Oryctolagus cuniculus: one gene and its partner. The protein of the gene in region 2 purifies or fractionates together with the protein of the main gene of each other region. This does not show direct contact. Links are inferred from orthologs where the notes say so. Each region holds a gene or a part of one and is shown on either strand. Other genes may lie near its edges.

The links.
Region 1: the proteins of CEP43 (region 2) and CEP78 purify together in Homo sapiens (affinity purification with mass spectrometry; 3 studies listed by BioGRID and IntAct, with this or other methods). This does not show direct contact. The link is inferred for Oryctolagus cuniculus from reciprocal best matches to the Homo sapiens genes CEP43 and CEP78.

Annotation. Positions count from the first base shown.
Region 1 is NC_091432.1:152,029,649-152,033,453, forward strand, and holds part of CEP78 (centrosomal protein of 78 kDa), read right to left. Parts: intron 3,221-3,805; coding exon 3,046-3,220; intron 1-3,045. UniProt on the Homo sapiens protein: Centriole wall protein that localizes to mature centrioles and regulates centriole and cilia biogenesis. Involved in centrosome duplication: required for efficient PLK4 centrosomal localization and PLK4-induced overduplication of centrioles.
Region 2 is NC_091436.1:2,075,849-2,080,200, forward strand, and holds the start of CEP43 (centrosomal protein 43), read right to left. Parts: upstream 2,917-4,352; 5' UTR 2,842-2,916; coding exon 2,740-2,841; intron 1,780-2,739; coding exon 1,726-1,779; intron 1-1,725. UniProt on the Homo sapiens protein: Required for anchoring microtubules to the centrosomes. Required for ciliation.

The DNA of each region.
Region 1 (3,805 bases), on a different chromosome or scaffold from region 2:
GTTATGCTGCCAATTGCAAAACTGGCATCTCAAATCAAACTGCCGTTTCAAGTCCCGGCTGCTCTGCTTCTGATTCAGCTCCCTGCTAATGTGCCTAAGAAAGCAGCAGAAAATGGCCCAAGTGCTTGGGCCCTGCTACCCAAGATGGAGTTCTTGGCTCCTGGCTTCAGCCTGGCCTAGTCACAGCCATTGCAGACTTTTGGGAAGTGAACCAGTAGATCTCTTTCAGTCTCTCCCTCTTTCTCCATTACTCTGTCTTTCAAAATAAATGTTTTTAAAAAAAAAAAAGGGGGGGGGGGAATAGAGTAAATTTAAGATTTGCTAGTTTCCAAACAGAAGTAACAAAGAAATCTAAGGCAATATAAATATTATATGAAAAGAATGTGTGCATATAGGCCGGCGCCGTGGCTCACTTGGTTAATCCTCTGCCTGCGGAGCCGGCATCCCATATGGGCGCCAGGTTCTAGTCCCAGCTGCTCCTCTTCCAGTCCAGCTCTCTGCTGTGGCCCAGGAAGGCAGTGGAGGATGGCCCAAGTTCTTGGGCGCCTGCACTCGCATGGGAGACCAGGGAGAGGCACCTGGCTCCTGGCTTGGGATCGGTGCAGCACCGGCTGTAGCGGCCATTTGGGGAGTGAACAAACGGAAGGAAGACCTTTCTCTCTGTCTCTCTCTCTCTCTCTCTCTCACTGTCTATGACTCTACCTGTCAAAAAAAAAAAAAAAAAAAAAAAAGAATGTGTGAATATAGATTATATACTAAAAACCTATCAGGAAAGAATGATGGTTAAGGACTCTCTCAAAAAAAGGTCAATGGCCAGCATTGTGGCATAGTGGGTAAAGCTGCTGCTTACAGTGCCAGCACCCCATATAAGTACTGGTTCTAGTCCGAGCTGCTCCACTTCCCATACAGCTAATGCACCTGGGAAAACAGCGGAAAACAGCCCAAGTCCTTGGGGCCCTGTACCCACATGGGAGACCTGGAATAAGCTCCTGGTTCCTGGTTTCATATCAGCCCAGCTCCAGCCATTTGGGGAGTGAACCTGCACATGGAAAACCTCTGTCTCTGTCTGTTAACTCTGCCTTTCAAATAAAATAAAATAAAGTTCAAAGAAGAGAACAAATGTTCATGAAAACTAATAATTCTCAGGGTAAATAACCTACTCATGGGGCCAGTGCTGTAGTTTAGCAGATAAAGCTGCCACCTGCAGCACCAACATCCCATAAGGGTTCGAGTCCCAGTTCGAGTCCCAGCTGCTCCACTTTCGATCCAGCTCTCTGCTATGGCCAAGAAAGCAGCAGGAGACGGCGCAAGTCCTTGGGCCCCTGCACCCGTGCAGGAGACCCAGAAGAAGCTCCTGGATTGGAGCAGCTCCTGCCACTGCAGCCAACTGGGGAGTGAACCAGCAGATGGAGGACCTATCTCTCTCTCTGCCTCTGCTTCTCTCTGTGTGTAACTCTTTCAAATAAATAAATAAATACATCTTTAAACAAACAAACAAAAAAAAGAAATAAAAAAAAGAAATAACTTACTCACATAGGGGCAGGCATTTGGCTTAACATGTTAAGTTGTCACTTGGGACACTTACATCCCATATCAGAGTGCGCAATTCAAGTTCCAGCTATTCCACTTTCGGATAGAGTTCTGAGCTATTGGGTTGGCCTGTCTGTGGGCATTTGAGGAGTGAACCAGGGCATGGAAGATCTCTGTCTCTCTCTTTCAATTAAAATTATTTTAATCTACTTGTTTAATCCCAAAGGGATCAAAACAAAAATACCAGTATAATAAAGATTACATCAGAGGAAAAATGTAAGTCACATCTTGAAGCACCATTACATTGCAATAACTGAACTCTTTCAAAACCCCATGTTATGAACTACACATCTGTGTGTTCTCCCAAAATTCCTGTGTTGAAACTCCAACCCTCAATGGGGTACTTGTAGGAGGTGGGGCCTCTGCAAGGTGATTAGGTTGAGAAGAGGTCTTAAGAGTCCCTACGATGGCCTGGCTCAGCCCCAGCCGTTGCAGTCAACTGGGGAGTGAACCCGTGGATCCAAGACCTCTCTCTCTCTTTGTCCCTCTCTAACTCTGCCTTTCAAATAAATAAATCTTAGAGAAAAAAAAAGGAATTTACCTGAACAAAATAACCAGAGATGTGAACAACAGTGTGTATCCAAGTATTGTTTGTAACAGTTGAAAAGCTGCAAATAACTTAGATATCTAACAGGAATAAAGAAGCTAAGGGTATTATAGTAATGTAGTGGAACTTCTATCAATGAAAATGATGTAATAGATATAAATCTACTGATTTCTAAAAATCTTTGCACTATATTAGCAATCCTACTTGTATATAAAAGAAAAAAAAAGGCGTTTCTCATTTACATGAAGTTTGAAGTTTTAAAACAGACTTTACCCAAAGATTATGAGTGCAGGGCTCACATATGCAGCTAGTGTGGACTACAAAATGGCAAAACACTTCTGGAAAGCAATTTGGCAGCATGTATCATCAAGTCTATAAAAATATATTGTACTAAATTATTCCACTTTTAATAATTTAATCTTATGGAAGTAATTCCAACATACACACAAGTGTAAACATGAGATATTTATCCCAAAGCTATTTAAAAGAGTAAAAGATAAACTGTCTAAATATTGAATAGCTTGGAATTAAACTATCGTGCTTCAATGTAATAGAGTACTATATGATAGATCATTACGCAAAAAAAGCAGGGTAGCAAAATACATTAGATTACATTATTGTAATCTCTAAGTATACAAATGCAGTGTTCACTTTGGTAATATATACAAATATTCTATAAAGAAAAAAGACAAAATACATGCACACACACCAAAAAGAACAGTGGTTTTCTCGTTACTCTACATTTTCTATAAAGAATACATGTAACATTGATAAAAGTTTAAAATCACAATAAAAGCTAATAGAAGAAAGGATTTTAGAAAAACCTTATGACATTATTGAGCCAAGAGCTAAGCATACTTAACATTAAAAATGCACTATTTTCAACTTTAGAAGTTCATTAAACTTACCCCTAAGCCATAAATCCTCACTAAGGGAGTCCGCAAAGGCACGTGCGCCCAGGTCCCCAATGAGTGTGTTGCAATTCAGTGTGATGCGCCGCAAGCCAGCCATGCAGTCGAGATCGGGTCTCCTGTAGCGAAGGCTCTCAGCCCAGGTTTCTTCATGCCGTCGCATTGACTGATACTTCAAAAATTTAATAGGATGAAGTTAGCACACTGGAATAAGAGGGAAACTAATTATGGCTGATTACATCAGAGCTTTACATCTACACACACACAGCCAACCATACATGCCAAGAGTCAACCTAGGGGATTAAATATTAGATTTTGCTTAAGTGGTCCAGTGACCCAGATCCTAGTCTGCCACTGACTAGTTATGTGACTGACTAGCTGCTGAGTGACTTACTGCTCATTACTTACATAAACTGACAACTTATTAATTTAGAAGAATTTTATTTTTCATATCAGCCAAGTCAAATAATTGGTTTTAAATTCTATCATTATCAAGCTTCTGAATTCTGTAATTCTATCCTCCAGTGGTTATCCAAACACTTGACCGGACATCCCACAAGTAAACATGCTTTAGCATGTATCTTACTTATGAATAAATTATATACAAGAAGTTCTGCACATATATTTTGTGCACATTATAAACTATATAGAAACAACAGATATTTTTCAAATGATACAAAAATCAATATAGCATTCTAATATTTTTCTTTTCCTAATTCAATTATCTTTCATACTTCTTAGGATATGCATCCCAACT
Region 2 (4,352 bases):
GCAGAGCATGCGCTGCAGGGCACCGAACACAGGCACGCATCAGCGCCTAAAAACCTCCTCACAACATGGCGAAGAGAGGACCCGGATTCGGTCTGCCTGATTGGTAGGGCTTGTAAGCACCTGTGGGCAACTCTAGCAAGCAGAGCAGAGTGTGTGCCGCGGGACACCGAAGACAGGCACGTATCAACGCCAAAAATAAAAAGAAAGGGGGATCTGTGGGGAGCAACTCGGACTAGACTAAGTTACTGGAATTAGGACTTATTCTATGCATCTGCTCTCCCACAATATGGTGCTGGAAGAGAAGAAAACAGCTTCTACACAGCTGCCTCCAGTTCAACCAATAAACAGCAGGACCTGCTCCTGATTGGAGGAGAGCAGCGTACTCGGCGTGTGGGCAGCCGAGTTGGGATTGGTGGAAGAGGACTATAAAGGAGGAGAGAGACGACATGCACCAGGAACATCTATCTGAAGGAACACCTGTGCAGCCCCCGAGAGAGCCGGCCGGCGGTGTGCCGCTCCCCCGCGGAAGTGGGGAAAGCGGCCAGGGGGAACCGCCCTTCCATGGAGGTGGAAGGGATGGTAGCCAACCCGGGAAGAACCAGCAGCAAACCCGGGGAGGGCCGAGCAGACGAAAGAACAGCGCAGGGTCCTGTGTCGTTCCTCCACGAAGAGGGGGAGCGACAAGGAGGACGGGACCACAGTCTGAAGGAGGAGGAGGACGGGCCCATAGTCTGACGGAGGAGGAGGACGGGCCCACAGTCTGAGGGAGGAGGAGGACGGGCCCACAGTCTGAGGGAGGAGGAGGACGGGCCCACAGTCTGAGGGAGGAGAAGGATGGGCCCACAGTCTGAAGGAGGACGGGCACACAGTCTGAGGGAGGAGGAGGACGGGACCACAGTCTGAGGGAGGAGGGGGACGGGCCCACAGTCTGAGGGAGGAGGAGGAGGACGGGCCCACAGTCTGACGGAGAAGGAGGATGGGACCACAGTCTCAGGGAGGAGGGGGACGGGCCCACAGTCTGAGGGAGGAGGAGGACGGGCCCACAGTCTGAGGGAGGAGGAGGACGGGCCCACAGTCTGAGGGAGGAGGAGGATGGGCCCACAGTCTGAGGGAGGAGGAGGATGGGCCCACAGTCTGAGGGAGGACGGGCACACAGTCTGAGGGAGGAGGAGGACGGGCACACAGTCTGAGGGAGGAGGAGGACGGGACCACAGTCTGAGGGAGGACGGGCCCACAGTCTGAGGGAAGAGGAGTTTGGGCCCACAGTCTGAGGGAGGAGGAGGACGGGCCCACAGTCTGAGGGAGACCGCGTCCACTCTGCGGGCCACACGTGCGCAGCTTCTCCTGCATTCAGTTTTTCTCTTGTATGAGACGCCGAGCGGGCGAGAGGACGGCGGCCAGCGCGGCTCCCCCACCCCCACCGCGCTGGTCTGGGCCGCCCAGGCAGGCGCCTCCGAGGACTCCAGCCACACCTGCTGCCTGCGGGCGGGCGGGCGCCGGCAGGACACCTGCGGCAGAGGCTGGGCCGGGACTCGAACCGGGGGCGCTGAGAGGGCCACGGCGTTGCGGAGGCCCTCCCCGCCCCCAGGACGCATCACCCCCCTGTCCTGGTCTGTCACCCGGCCCCTCTCTAGGGCTACTCCGCAAAGCGGACCCCGATCGCCGCGCCGGCCCCCCCCCCCGCCCCCGCCCCGCCCCCGGCCCCGCCCCGCGCTCGGCTCTCACCTCCACCTTCTCCTGCTCCTCCAGCGCCAGGAACACGGCCGCGCGCAGCTCGGCCTTGGGAAGAGGAGCCCGAGTCAGCGCCCGCGTCCGCGACCCCCGCCCCGGGCCCAGCCCGCGTCCGCGACCCCGCCCCGGGCCCAGCCCGCGTCCGCGACCCCCGCCCCGAGGTCCAGCCCCGCATCCGCGACCCCCGCCCCCGAGTTCCAGCCCGCGTCCGCGACCCCCGCCCCCGAGGTCCAGCCCGCGTCCGCGACCCCCGCCCCCGAGGTCCAGCCCCGCGTCCGCGACCCCCGCCCCCGAGGTCCAGCCCCGCGTCCGCGACCCCCGCCCCCGAGGTCCAGCCTGCGTCCGCGACCCCCGCCCCGGGCCCAGCCCCGCTCTCGCCGCCCCCGCCCCCGAGGTCCAGCCCCGCGTCCGCGACCCCCGCCCCGAGGTCCAGCCCCGCGTCCGCGACCCCCGCCCCGGGCCCAGCCCGCGTCCGCGACCCCCGCCCCCGAGGTCCAGCCCGCGTCCGCGACCCCCGCCCCGAGGTCCAGCCCCGCGCTCGCCGCCCCCGCCCCCGCCCCCGAGGTCCAGCCCCGCGTCCGCGACCCCCGCCCCGAGGTCCAGCCCGCGTCCGCGACCCCCGCCCCCGAGGTCCAGCCCGCGTCCGCGACCCCGCCCCCGAGGTCCAGCCCGCGTCCGCGACCCCGCCCCCGAGGTCCAGCCTGCGTCCGCGACCCCCGCCCCGGGCCCAGCCCCGCGTCCGCGACCCCCGCCCCCGAGGTCCAGCCCCGCGTCCGCGACCCCCGCCCCGAGGTCCAGCCCCGCGCTCGCCGCCCCCGCCCCCGCCCCCGAGGTCCAGCCCCGCGTCCGCGACCCCCGCCCCCGCCCCCGGCCCGGCCCCCGCACGCCGAGCGCGTCCCGCTGTGACGCCCGCGGCCCCCAGGCCCCGCGCCCGCCTCGCCCCGCGGCCCCCAGGCCCCGCGCCCGCCTCGCCCCGCGCCGGGCCAGGCCCCGGCCTCCCGGCCCCACCTTGATGCGGTTCAGGACCCCGCTGTTCTCCAGCGTCTGCACCAGCAGATCCCGCAGCTCCGTGTCCTCCTCGGCCGCCACCGCGGCCGCCGTCGCCGCCATCTTGCTTCTCCAAGACAACCGCCGAAGCCGCGCCGACGGCCAACGGCAGCCGCGGAGGCACACGGCGCACGCGCGGCGCCGCCGACGCCCCGCCCTTTGCGTCGGGGGCGGGGCCGCGGCCGGCGCTGGGGGCGGGGCCTGGAGCGGGGCGGGGCCTCAGGCGCCCGCGGGCCGTGAGGGCGCGCGCACTGGGGCGGGGCTAGGCTGGCCGCCTGCGGTGCTGTCCCAAGTTACGCTTGTGGCGAGGTGCACTGAAATCGGGACCTCCCCAGTCGAGAACGCCCGGCGGCCGGCGGGTGTGAGGGGTGGGCGAAGATTCTAGAAGCCGGGAGGACCCCTCCCCACCCCTGGGATCCCCGCTGATGCTCCCCGCCGCTCCGGGGTCTTGGCTGGCTACTCGACAAGGCCCCAGGCTGCGCCCCTCGCCCCTGCCCGAGGCGGCGCCCACCTGCTGCGCGCTGGCCGCCTCGCCTGCGCCAGGCACCTGCGCTCGCTGGGGGCGGCCGGGGGGCGCGGGGCTCCACGTCGGGAGCTGTGGGACTTCCGGTCGCCTGCGTTGTTAGCTGTGGGCTGTCCACGGTCTGTGCCGCTCCCCGCTGAGACAGGACGCAGCGCACCCAGGCCTCCGCTCACCTCTCCCTTTCCGCTCCCTGCTGGCTGTTGGGCCGGGGGCGCAAGGAGGGAGCTCGGTGTGTCCTGCGGTCACGGTCACGCGCGGCTCCAACAGAGCCTGGCTGAGAGGGCGCCCTGTCGGCCCTCCCCGGTCTCCCTCCCTCTTCCCTCCCTGCCTGCTGTCCGCCCCGCTCTCAGATCCTTTCCTTGGGCTTTGCTCTGGGGCATCCGGGACTGGGACTGCCCGGCACCAGGCCGGCGGGGGCCCGCGGCCCTGGGGGCGCCGGGAGTCCCTGGCACGGCCTCCAAGCTGTGCTGAGTGGTGGTGGGCCGTGCGGCATCCCAGCTGTGCTGAGTGGCGGTGGGCGGTGCGGCCTCCCAGCTGTGCTGAGTGGCGGTGGGCGGTGGGTGGAGAAGGAGGCGCTGACTTTGGCCGCAGCTCTGGCTCCTGCAGACACGCAGACAACGGTGATATTCAAGACTGGAGTCTCTGTTCTGTAAACCGGTACCAGAGGAAAACATGCAGGGGCTCAAGTCGGCCGAGTCCACCCTAGGCCACCTTCCTGAGCCAGAAACGCCCAGGACGTCACCCTGGTGGCCTGGAGTCAGCGCTGACGCCGTGGGAATCGGCAGATCCGTCAAAGCGAAGCCGGAACTCAGAGCCAAGGCGTCCCCTGGAGCCCCACCGCGTCCAGCGGACCTGAATCTGAATCTTAACACTTGAAGCCCCCAGACCAGGGCTGGGCAGCGTCCGGCCTGCGGGCCAGAGGAGACCACGGGACCTGGCCAGGCCAAAGCCGCTGCAGGCAAGACAGAAGTGCGGTACAGCTGCTCTTTAAGCCCATCGTTTTGTACGGTCCACGAGTGATGTTATAAATACCCAAGTGGCCCTTGGCAAA